Caenorhabditis elegans: one gene and its partner. The protein of the gene in region 1 purifies or fractionates together with the protein of each later gene. This does not show direct contact. Each region holds a gene or a part of one and is shown on either strand. Other genes may lie near its edges.

Region 1 (6,821 bases):
ATCTTGCAATTCTTCATCTTCTTGGAATCACTCTTCCAGCCGACGCAGAACTTGAAATCTCTGCTCCGAATCATCGTCTCATTGCGTTCCTCTTCACCGAGCTAACTGCTGATAGTTGGAATGATCAGAGGAATGATGTACTCCGAGCAGGAATTAATGATGCTCAGACAAATGGAGCACCCGCCACGTGGGATGGATTCAAGCCAACACTAATGACATGGGCATTTGTAGATGCATATTTCAATAAGGTTATCAAGGTGAGAAGACCTGTGATCTATTATGGTTTCTTATTTATACATCTATTCAGATTACTGGAGAGGATCGTCTCGAATGGCTCCGTGAGCATCTTGTAGAGACTATCAACAAGACACGTGGATTCGTGGATGACTTTGACTCAAATATTCTCCCATGTGAAGATGTTGCAGAATTCTGCGATGTAACTGGAGCTCCGATTGACGATGTCAACTTGTTCCTGGCAGGAGGACCACCGCAATAGTTTATTATTTTGTATTCAACTTTTTAAAAAGTCATGTTTGATGTTCTTCAGCGATAAATATTTTATGTTCTTTGTGAAGAGAGTTCAAGAGTTTTTAATAAATAAAATATTTAATCAACCAGGAACCGTTTAGATACTTTAACAAGAAAATACATTAGAGATTTAGCTCTGCCACGTGAATATGCGATTTTGTGGCGGCGAAAAGATGGGTATCGGTAAGCTGGACTCCACGAATCGGATCAGAGCACTCGACGCGGAGCAAGTGTTGTTTTGAAACGTGGCTCACTGTTTGCGATGTTTTTCGATTGCTCAGACCTGAAAAAAATTACATACATACATTTAAATTTTGACAGAAAACTTACTTCCAGAAACTTCAACTTTTTGCGAGTAAAGCAGAACTCGATTATTTCCTTCTACAATACACGCCAAAGACTTGTTTGGTGAGCATCCGGACCAGAGACGGCTTGTCTTCGAAGCTTGAACGTATCCAAAAGCTTGAAGAGTTGCCACGTGGCTGGGTGCAGATTCGTCGAAAGACCACAGAAGACCGTCAACGTCGTGACGAAGACAAATGAGAGCAGGAGAGGTGGAGGATTGACGTGATGTAAAAAGAACCTGACTTCCAGAAACATCGCACTGAAATTCAGTTGATTCAAAAAGAAAGATATCTAGAAATTATTTTTTTGGATTTCTTAGATTCTTGAATAAAATTTTCTAGAAAATCATTAGTTTCTCACAAAATTTTCTTTAAAAAATGGTTGGCAAATACCTGTTTCAAAACTTTTCCAGACTCCTGATCAACCCAATAAAAAGCCATAGATCCTTCAGTCTCATCACATTCTTCCATTGGCTCATCACTTTCAATTACTTGTTCTCCTTTCATTGTTCTCTTGATTTCTGAATCTTCCAATGATTTCAGAGTATCATATTCCACAGAAATCAGCTTCTCCCATTTCTTATCATCGATTGACTTTAGTTTCAGTTTCAATCTGTAATGTATTTATTGAAATTTATGTGCTCATTTTGGCAATTTAACAAAATTTTGGCAGTATATGAATATGAATATGTTGAAAACTTCAGCCAAAAATTGGAGAATACTTCTTTTTATAAAAAATTTTCTTAAATTTGGCAAAAAAATTTTCTGCTACTAATTTTTTAAATATCAATTTCCAAAAAAAATTGAATTTTTTTTAAATTTTGAAAACTTGATAAAATGCTTGGTCATATACCAAAACTTTGGCACATTATCAAATTTTTGGCCGAAAATTTTTAAAAAAATCTGAAATCTGAAGTCTTTCTAAATAGCTCATTTTGAGTTATTTTTTCACTCTTAATATCAAAAAAACTGACGAATTCGTCTTTTGATCCGCACAAATTTCCACATCATTTTCATCAATTTCTCCACTAAGTTTTCCACTGAGAAGGGTCAGATCTTTGACAATCAAACGAATTCCTGTTTTGGTTGTGTCGATTTTAACGTCTTCTTTTGAAATTTCAGATTTCAATTTGAATGCCACTTGGATAATATTCCCAGTTTGTTCCCATGAATGTTCCACTGAAAATTCAGAAAATTAATTTTTTGCAATCCAGAAATGCTTTTTTGGTCGGAAAAAAGCGAAATTTGCGCGCCAAAAATACGGTACCCGGTCTCGACACGATAATTATTTGTTAGATAGAAACGGGTGTGCGCCTTTAAAGAGTACTGTAATCTCTCATTGCTGTGGAATTTTAAATTTATGTGCTTATTGTGTTATTCACCGTTTGAAATAAAAATTAACAACATTTTTTTTTATCGAAACATTTTTTTAAAAAGTTCGAAAATATAGTACTCTTTAAAGGCACATGCCTTTCCTCAATAACAAAAATTGTCGTGTCGATACCGGATACCGTACTTGTAGCGCAAAAATTGCTGCATTTCGCGGAAAACCCTCCATTCAGGCGCGTTAGCAAATTATGGATATAGGAAACAAACTGCGGAGCCCAGCTCTCATGGAAGAAGCCAAATTGTTTTTCAGATCACATTTTCAGAAAGCCAAGAAGCACAACATATTTTTTTCTATTCATCGATTTATTGGATACATGTGATATTCGGTCATAAATCACTTAGACCATATAAATACAATATAATTTTAGAATAGATTTTAAATATAATAAAAAGGGTAAAACTTGAACATCTATGTATACTAACAATGAAGGTTAAAATTATCTATTGAGCTCCATCTCTCTTCTACTTTCCTGATACTTCAGACAATAGATCTTCTCGAAAGCCACCTTGCTCAGCGAATCAAAGGTTGCTCCGTCGTCCTCCATGAGCTTCTTCGTTACTTTGCGCCCGATCACATCCGGTAATGCGTCGATGAAATCCAAAAAGTGTAAATAGCTGTCCACACCATAGTTGTATCTCGCGTGCGATTGAACAATACTTGATCAAGGCAGTTTCCATTTGAGAATAATCATTTTCATCGAACTTGATGCGCTCCAGCATTTCACTATGAAGTCTCATTTGGAATCCTGGTCGATTGAAAGTCCATTCCAAATTCTCAAGTGTCAATTTGTAGCCCATCTCCATGATATTCGATGTCACAATAAATTGCTTGGCATCCCCTGTGAGAGCATTAACCAGAGCCACATTCTTCATGTTGATTTCCAGAAAATGGTTATTGTGCACCAAGTAGTCGAAGGTACTCTTGAATAACAGATAATTCGAAGCATCTCCGTCGAATGGAGTGATTAACTGCTTGATATCAACTAGATATCTAGACTGCTCCTCGATTGTAGGCTTCGGCTTGGATTGTCCAGATGTCGCTGAATGAACTTCCATTTCGTGCTTCATAGCGCCGTCTTCCGAATGTTTCATTCCAGAGATATTCAACATTGTAGAGAAATTGGGGCTTTGAGTGGAGCTCGCGTCGAACCAATGGAAAGAATGAATGACTTTTAGCCACACAATTGGGAATGGATGAGAAAACAAAAAAACAAGGAACATTTTTGGCGGGGAAAATTTAAAAAAATCGGTAGAACAAATTTGAAAAGAAAATGGTAGATCAAAAATAATTATGTTGTTCTTTTTTTTCAAAATTTCAAAGTAGTATTGCAACAAATTATTTTTTTATTATTTTTATTTATTTAAATTTGAAAAAAACCTTTTTCTTCCATATCTTCCTGTTGCCCTTCCACGTGGGGTTTTTCGCTCGATAGAAATATTATTTCGCCGTTATTTGTGAATGTACAAGTCTGGAAAAATAAATTTAAGGTTAGGATATTACACACGAAAGGTTGCACCAAAAGTACTGTACCGGGTCTCAACACGATAAAACAAAATATTAGAAGGTGCACCTTTAAAGATTACTGTATTCTATAACTTTATTTTATAATAGTTTCTCTCACGAATTGCTGAAATTTATGTGTTGTAACTTGTTGTATTTTAGTTTTTTAAAGAAAATATACATTTTTAACGAAAATTATTTACAAAATCGATAAAAATTCGAATTTTCATCAATTTTCTAAATAGTTTTTCGTTAAAAAATATATATTTATTAAACAACTAGAATAAAACAATTAAAACACACAAATTATAAAAATAAACTATTAAAAATAAGTTTGAATCTACAGTACTCTTTAAAGGCGCGCGCCAGTTTTTACTTCACAGCAAAAGCGTGTCGAGACCGGATACATTGCAAAATTTTGCACCTCGCTGATATTTTCAAAAAATTAACCTCAAAGTGTCCATTTTGAATTAAATCCATTGATTTCTCAACTGTAAGGCTATCAGCATAGTCTATATCTGGAAAAAAAGAAGGAAATTTTTTACTTTTCAAAATTTAATTATACAAACCATCCAAATTAATACGAATCGAGTGAATTCTGCTTCTGGTCTTTTTGGAATCATCACTTTCCACGTGATATGCCAAAATATTAAGTTTTCCATTTAAAATTCGAGCTTCAATCAGTGAAAGACCTTGCTCTGAAACCTTATGCTCCAGCATTTTAACCCAATTTGAGTCAGAGACAGCCAGGAAAACTGTAATTTCAGAAATTCCATTGCAAGCGACGACCAGATTGTTTTCAGTGAACAAGAGATTAGTAGGAAAAGCGGAAGAGGCATTTGTCCCAACATCAATGGAGCCAACGATCGAGGTATTCCATATTTGGGTCTGAAATTATTTATTTAATTTTTTGAAAAGAAACAATTAAGTTTATTCGTTAAGTATTTTTGAAGCGAAACCCTCATTCACAGTAAAATTATGTACCTTTTTCTCATAAACCATTGCCTGAATATGCCCGGTGTCTAAAATACGATACAAAAATTGTTGGGAATCCGTGCATTTCGAATAATCACAAAACAGCTGATTATCATTTGAGAACACTTTCATATGTTGCAGAGTAATCATTTCATTGGATGGAGCACGAAGACATACTGAAAATTATTTTTTGCGAAAAATGGAAAATTTAAATGATTTTTATTACAATTTTGATCCAGGCTTTTGCTCGAAAAGTGCACATTATTCATGGAAACTTTGTATCCTTCAAAGTTAGCATCAATCTTGGAATGATCCACAGGAAGATTGATTGATTGCATTTTAGATTTAATTGGTATAGGGGATTGACCAGGCCTGAAACCATTTTTTTTTCGATGAATTACTAAAAAATCAATTTTTTGGTGAAAAATAGAAGTTTCTTAGTTTCATTTTGCTTATTTCAAGCGTTTTTTATTATAAAATGTTCTACCAATTTCTTTCATTAAAATTTAGTTGTAGAATACTGAAATTTCATTAGAAAGAATATTGGGAAAATGGCAATTACCGTGTGCCGCCGACTGAAGATATGAAAAAAGGTTTAAAACCTTTAAGGGAACATATTAGAAATTGAAATTATTTAAAAAAAAAGAAATAAAAGTTTATAAAACAGATTGTGGAATGAAAGACAAGGCAAGATGTCTATAAGTGAAAATTGAACACGATAAAATAAAATTAAGCTGAATATTATAAATTCAGGCGTTTTCGAAGGAATCATATTCTGGTTCCGGCTCCTCTTTTGGCTTCTCCTTTCGAGCCATTGGCACAAGGCTCACTGGTCCTTTATCAAATGAATCTTCCTCATCATCTTCTTCTTCTTCCTCCTCATCCTCTTCATCCGAATCATCACTGCTATCCTCAGATACATCTGATTCTTCTTTAACAAGTCCACTTGTCGATATTCCTGCTGCCAATTGTTCAATTTCCGTTGGCCACACTCCCATATTATTTTCGCAAGAAGATGATTGTTCCAGCATTCCCATTGGGAACCGATTCAAACTTCCCACTTTGTTCTTCAAACCGAAACGAGTAGGAACATTGGTGCTGGCGCCTGCTGGCAAGATAGGTGTGTGCTGGAAAATGGGCAATTATTGGCTTTTAAAAATTCACTGAAACTTGCCTTTTTATAGAACTTCTCTGAAAAACGGCAGATTATTTGAAAAGCGGCGAATTGTTCATCTGAAGCTTTGTGCATCGAAAATGCGTTCAAAAACTTCTTTCCATTCTCCAAAATTCGAACTTTTCCGAATACTTCAACACGGTCCCCGACGTTGAACTTCTTGGCAGATTCTTCGGTGAAAGAAGCCTGAAATTAATACTTTTTTCCAATGTTACACGATATATTCAGACTAACGGTGAGGATTTTTTGAACCAAAATATTATGATTATCTTTATCAGTAATCATGTATTCTACATCAGAATCTCCGAACTTCACAGATTCGATTACACCCATCACTTGAACGCGAACAACGTCTGCCGTTCCGTACTCGATTCGTTCTTTTGTTGAATTGAATAGCGCTGAAATCGGCATTGGGACGGCATGTTCTGGAATATACCGGTGAGTTTCCATCTGAAATCATGAACAATATGTGAGAAAAACACAGAAATTTGAAGATAAAATCGACGTCTACAAACGACACTGTTTAGCGCAAGAAGCATGCTCTATTGATAAAATGGTTTCAGCGAATTTTAAAAATTTCAGAGAAACTTTAGTTCGACTTTAAAATAGTGCACGGATTAAACAGAAAACCTGAAAAAATAAAACTGTTGAATAGCCTGAATGAAAAAATTTATGATTGCGATAGATAGCCCGGTTTTGAAATAAATAAAAAATCACAGAAGCAAATAACTGCCACCACTAGTACAAGTACACAAGAAAGACGGTTGAATACACTGAATAATATTATGTTTTAAAATTAGTCATCTTCGTCGGAGCTTTCGCTAAGTGCCAATCCATACTTCTCCTCAGAATCTTTGTTTTTATTTCCACTACTTGATATATAGGGAGCCACGTGGCTTTCTTTGTGATT
Region 2 (3,133 bases), on another chromosome or scaffold:
TGAAGCCTTCAATGCTGATGTTATAGGAATCGAAGAACATTTGATTGATATATTTGGTTTGGAGAATAAATTTGACTGTTAATTTGAATAACATGGAGAGTTTTGAAAAAACTGCATAGTAGATTCACTGAAAATATAACGAAAAGTTAAGTTATTGATAAAATATGTAATTCAAATTTTGCCAAGAATATTGTCAAAACTCATAACTTTAGGCTCCACTTTTACAGTTTATATCTCGGTTTTTGTTTCTATCAAACAATTGTCAACTGATAAAATATGGGCAAAATATTTTTCTATATTCTGGTTGTTACCATTTTTTAGGAAAAATTAAGACATAGGCCTTCAAAGTAGTGTAGTGGGATGTACGTCTAATAGGGAAAATACGGAATGTTTTAATTATTTGTATTTAGGCATTGTATGGGTTCGAATTTGCAGTGCTCAAATTTACTCAAAAATGTTCTAATCTTAGAAAGTTTGGCTTTTCATCAAAACTTTGGCTGGACATTTGAATAAAATCCCTCACCAATTCCAAGTTCATAATTTTAGATTTCGAAATTCACACTGCGTACTGTAAAATTATGCAAAATAGTCTTGGACGTTTCTATTTTTCTGCAAAAAAAAGAGCAAAAGTTCCGAATACCGTGGCTGCCAATCCATTATCTTTCACTTCATATTTGCTTATCACGTGGCTATCACCACTGATCTCTGTTTGACCTCCCTCCCGCGCGCGCCATTCCTCTCTCGCAAGTGTCCACACACAAGTAACTTCCATTAAACTGTTCAAAAACCACTCAAAACTGCGAAATGAGAAAAAAAATGAAGATGAAGAATGTGTTTAGATATTTGTGTTTGGTATGTGCCCAGTTGAGTAAGTGATTTCCATTCCACGGGTTTGGTTGTTCACACCCACCAACAAGATACATTTGAAATGATCACTGAGCACATTTGTTGGAGTGAGATGCACTGTTTGACAATGGAAACATCATGTGAATGAAAAAGGGAATACCTGGAAAAAACCGACGATTGTTGTTCCGAGGGTTGAGTCAACAGAAACGTGGAAAAGTGGTTTTTTGTCTGGAGCTGTCAAATAACAATTATTTTCTAAAAAAAAAAGCGAACGGAATAAGTTTTGTCTGGGGTATAACGATTGAATTTTTGAATTGTTAACACATATTACAGATAAAAAGAATGTCTCCTAAACCAACAAAAAAGGCCTCTTAAAATCGCCTCTTGCATATTATCGTATTTTTAATAAACAAAAGTTGGAACGAGTAGGCAATAAGCACAGGTAGACAATGATTTCACAATAACCGAAAACTTCAAGTTTTTATAGAATTATCAGTAGTTGTAGGTCGCATTAAATAGCAAAGATTTAATGCGACCTACAACTACTATTATCAATACAAATTTGAAATTTAATTTTAAAAATTTCCCCGTGATATATATATTTTTTCAAACAATTTGGAAACGTGAGAAAAACATTTATTTAAATAAAAAAATATATATTTTCCTCTTCCCTGATTCATAATTCATATTTGAATCATTTCAATTTTTACAAAAGTCAAGAAACACCTGTCCAAATGGAAGCTATCTTGAAATCAATAATGTTACTCAAGTATCTTCAATTCATCATCATTTTTTGTAGTGGACTTTGCATGGCTTTGGTAATTTGTGTGAGTTTTACTTAATTTCAGCATTGCAGGTTTAGCATTGCATATTTTGAATATCTAGGTATTTGAAATTAAAAACGTTGCGTGGACGGTTTGAGTTCTATTTTCAGATAATTGCGGGAAGCTTGTCATTAAAAAAGCTCCCGCGCAGGGACCTTGGGAGCATTTGATTATATGATAAGCCAAAAAAAGGTTGTTGAGAAACTTAAATTATATATGAAAATACTTTCATAATTAATGTATTTTCTCTTTAGTCTTGCTTCCATCCACTCAATTTTAACTGCTTATATTGGACCTTTTTGGTTAAAAAAAAAGGTAAATTTTGAAATATTTTCAGACAAAGGCAAAATCTGGAAAAGGAACGAATACAGCGAAAAGCAGCGGTGGCAATAATGGGACAAATCTGAATGCCAAAAGATCTAACACTACTCAAGGTTTGTTTGAAGTTTCACGATTATTCAAATTCAAAAATATTCAGATGATGTCAAATTCAATTTGAATATCAAAAACACGGAGCAAAAGCGGGATGAGTTTGATGATGACGAAGAGAATCCACTCGCAAAGATTCCGACAAAGGCAAGATTGCCGAAGAAGGTTAGTGGGTTACTGTAGGGGGTGCTCCTTTGAAGCTGAACTATTTGAAAACAAGGATTTAGTGGTACTGTACCGTATTTTTTCCGAAATGTTTTCAACTTGCGATTAAATCTCAACATATCTTCAGGATACTCTGTCAAAAACATCTTCGAACTCAAAAATGGATCGTGAAGCTTCATATTTTGCGCCAAACGAAAAGCAGACTGGAAAATCCTGTTATGTAAATTCAATTCTCCAAATTAAAAACTAAAAATTACTTTTAGATGAGTACCGCCATGTCGACAACCAAGACCACAACCTGATCTCCACTGAGCTACAAATTAACCTGTTCTTCTAGATTATAAATTTTGACGCTTTGTTTTGTTTTGTTAACACATCTGTTAAAGTCAAAGTTTTTTTCGTGAAGAGTTGAAGTTGGTATGATTTAGAAAAAAAGAAATATAAAGTACATGAAAAAAAGGAAAAAAGAGTTAAAGAAAGAAATATGTATGCGAAATGAATGGAGAAATGAGGAGAAGAAACCCATACCGGAGGTACGAAAGGATGATATTCTGAAGAAAATGAAGGAAAAGGGGTTGAACATGGAAATGGAAAGGATTAACAATAATAGAAAAATATATGTTTAAGATTTTTCTGAAGGAGATCTCACTAGAAACAAAAAAAGGGGAATTCTTTAAATTTCAAAGAAACCGAAGAAATCACAAGTTCGTAAGAGGTGGTGACTTTCAGAGACAGCTCTGAAAAGTTTTGTGAATATAATTGGGGGATGATGGGAACCCGTAGATCATAAGTGTGTGAGAGAAAGATGAAGAGACATGTTTTAAGGTGGGGAAGGAAAGAATCAAGAGAAAAACGATTAAAGCAGTTCA

The links. Proteins that work in one complex are often made in the same cells at the same time.
Region 2: the proteins of C44E4.5 (region 1) and ZC21.8 fractionate together in Caenorhabditis elegans (co-fractionation; one large-scale study listed by BioGRID). This does not show direct contact.

What each region holds. Positions count from the first base shown.
Region 1 is NC_003279.8:4,603,943-4,610,763, reverse strand, and holds C44E4.5 (NudC domain-containing protein 1), read right to left. Parts: upstream 5,110-6,821; 5' UTR 5,076-5,109; coding exon 4,964-5,075; intron 4,914-4,963; coding exon 4,747-4,913; intron 4,651-4,746; coding exon 4,332-4,650; intron 4,281-4,331; coding exon 4,213-4,280; intron 3,731-4,212; coding exon 3,640-3,730; intron 2,052-3,639; coding exon 1,847-2,051; intron 1,486-1,846; coding exon 1,266-1,485; intron 1,133-1,265; coding exon 859-1,132; intron 812-858; coding exon 651-811; 3' UTR 543-650; downstream 1-542. Other genes in the region: ubr-4 (UBR-type domain-containing protein), read left to right, coding at 1-257, 308-496; D1007.8 (Nucleic acid-binding, OB-fold protein), read right to left, coding at 5,487-5,864, 5,912-6,097, 6,146-6,361; eaf-1 (Ell-associated factor Eaf), read right to left, coding at 6,708-6,821.
Region 2 is NC_003281.10:8,518,393-8,521,525, reverse strand, and holds ZC21.8 (uncharacterized protein), read left to right. Parts: upstream 1-1,539; 5' UTR 1,540-1,580; coding exon 1,581-1,673; intron 1,674-2,007; coding exon 2,008-2,104; intron 2,105-2,148; coding exon 2,149-2,264; intron 2,265-2,391; coding exon 2,392-2,484; intron 2,485-2,527; coding exon 2,528-2,566; 3' UTR 2,567-2,622; downstream 2,623-3,133. Other genes in the region: GTPase-activating protein pac-1, read right to left, coding at 3,121-3,133.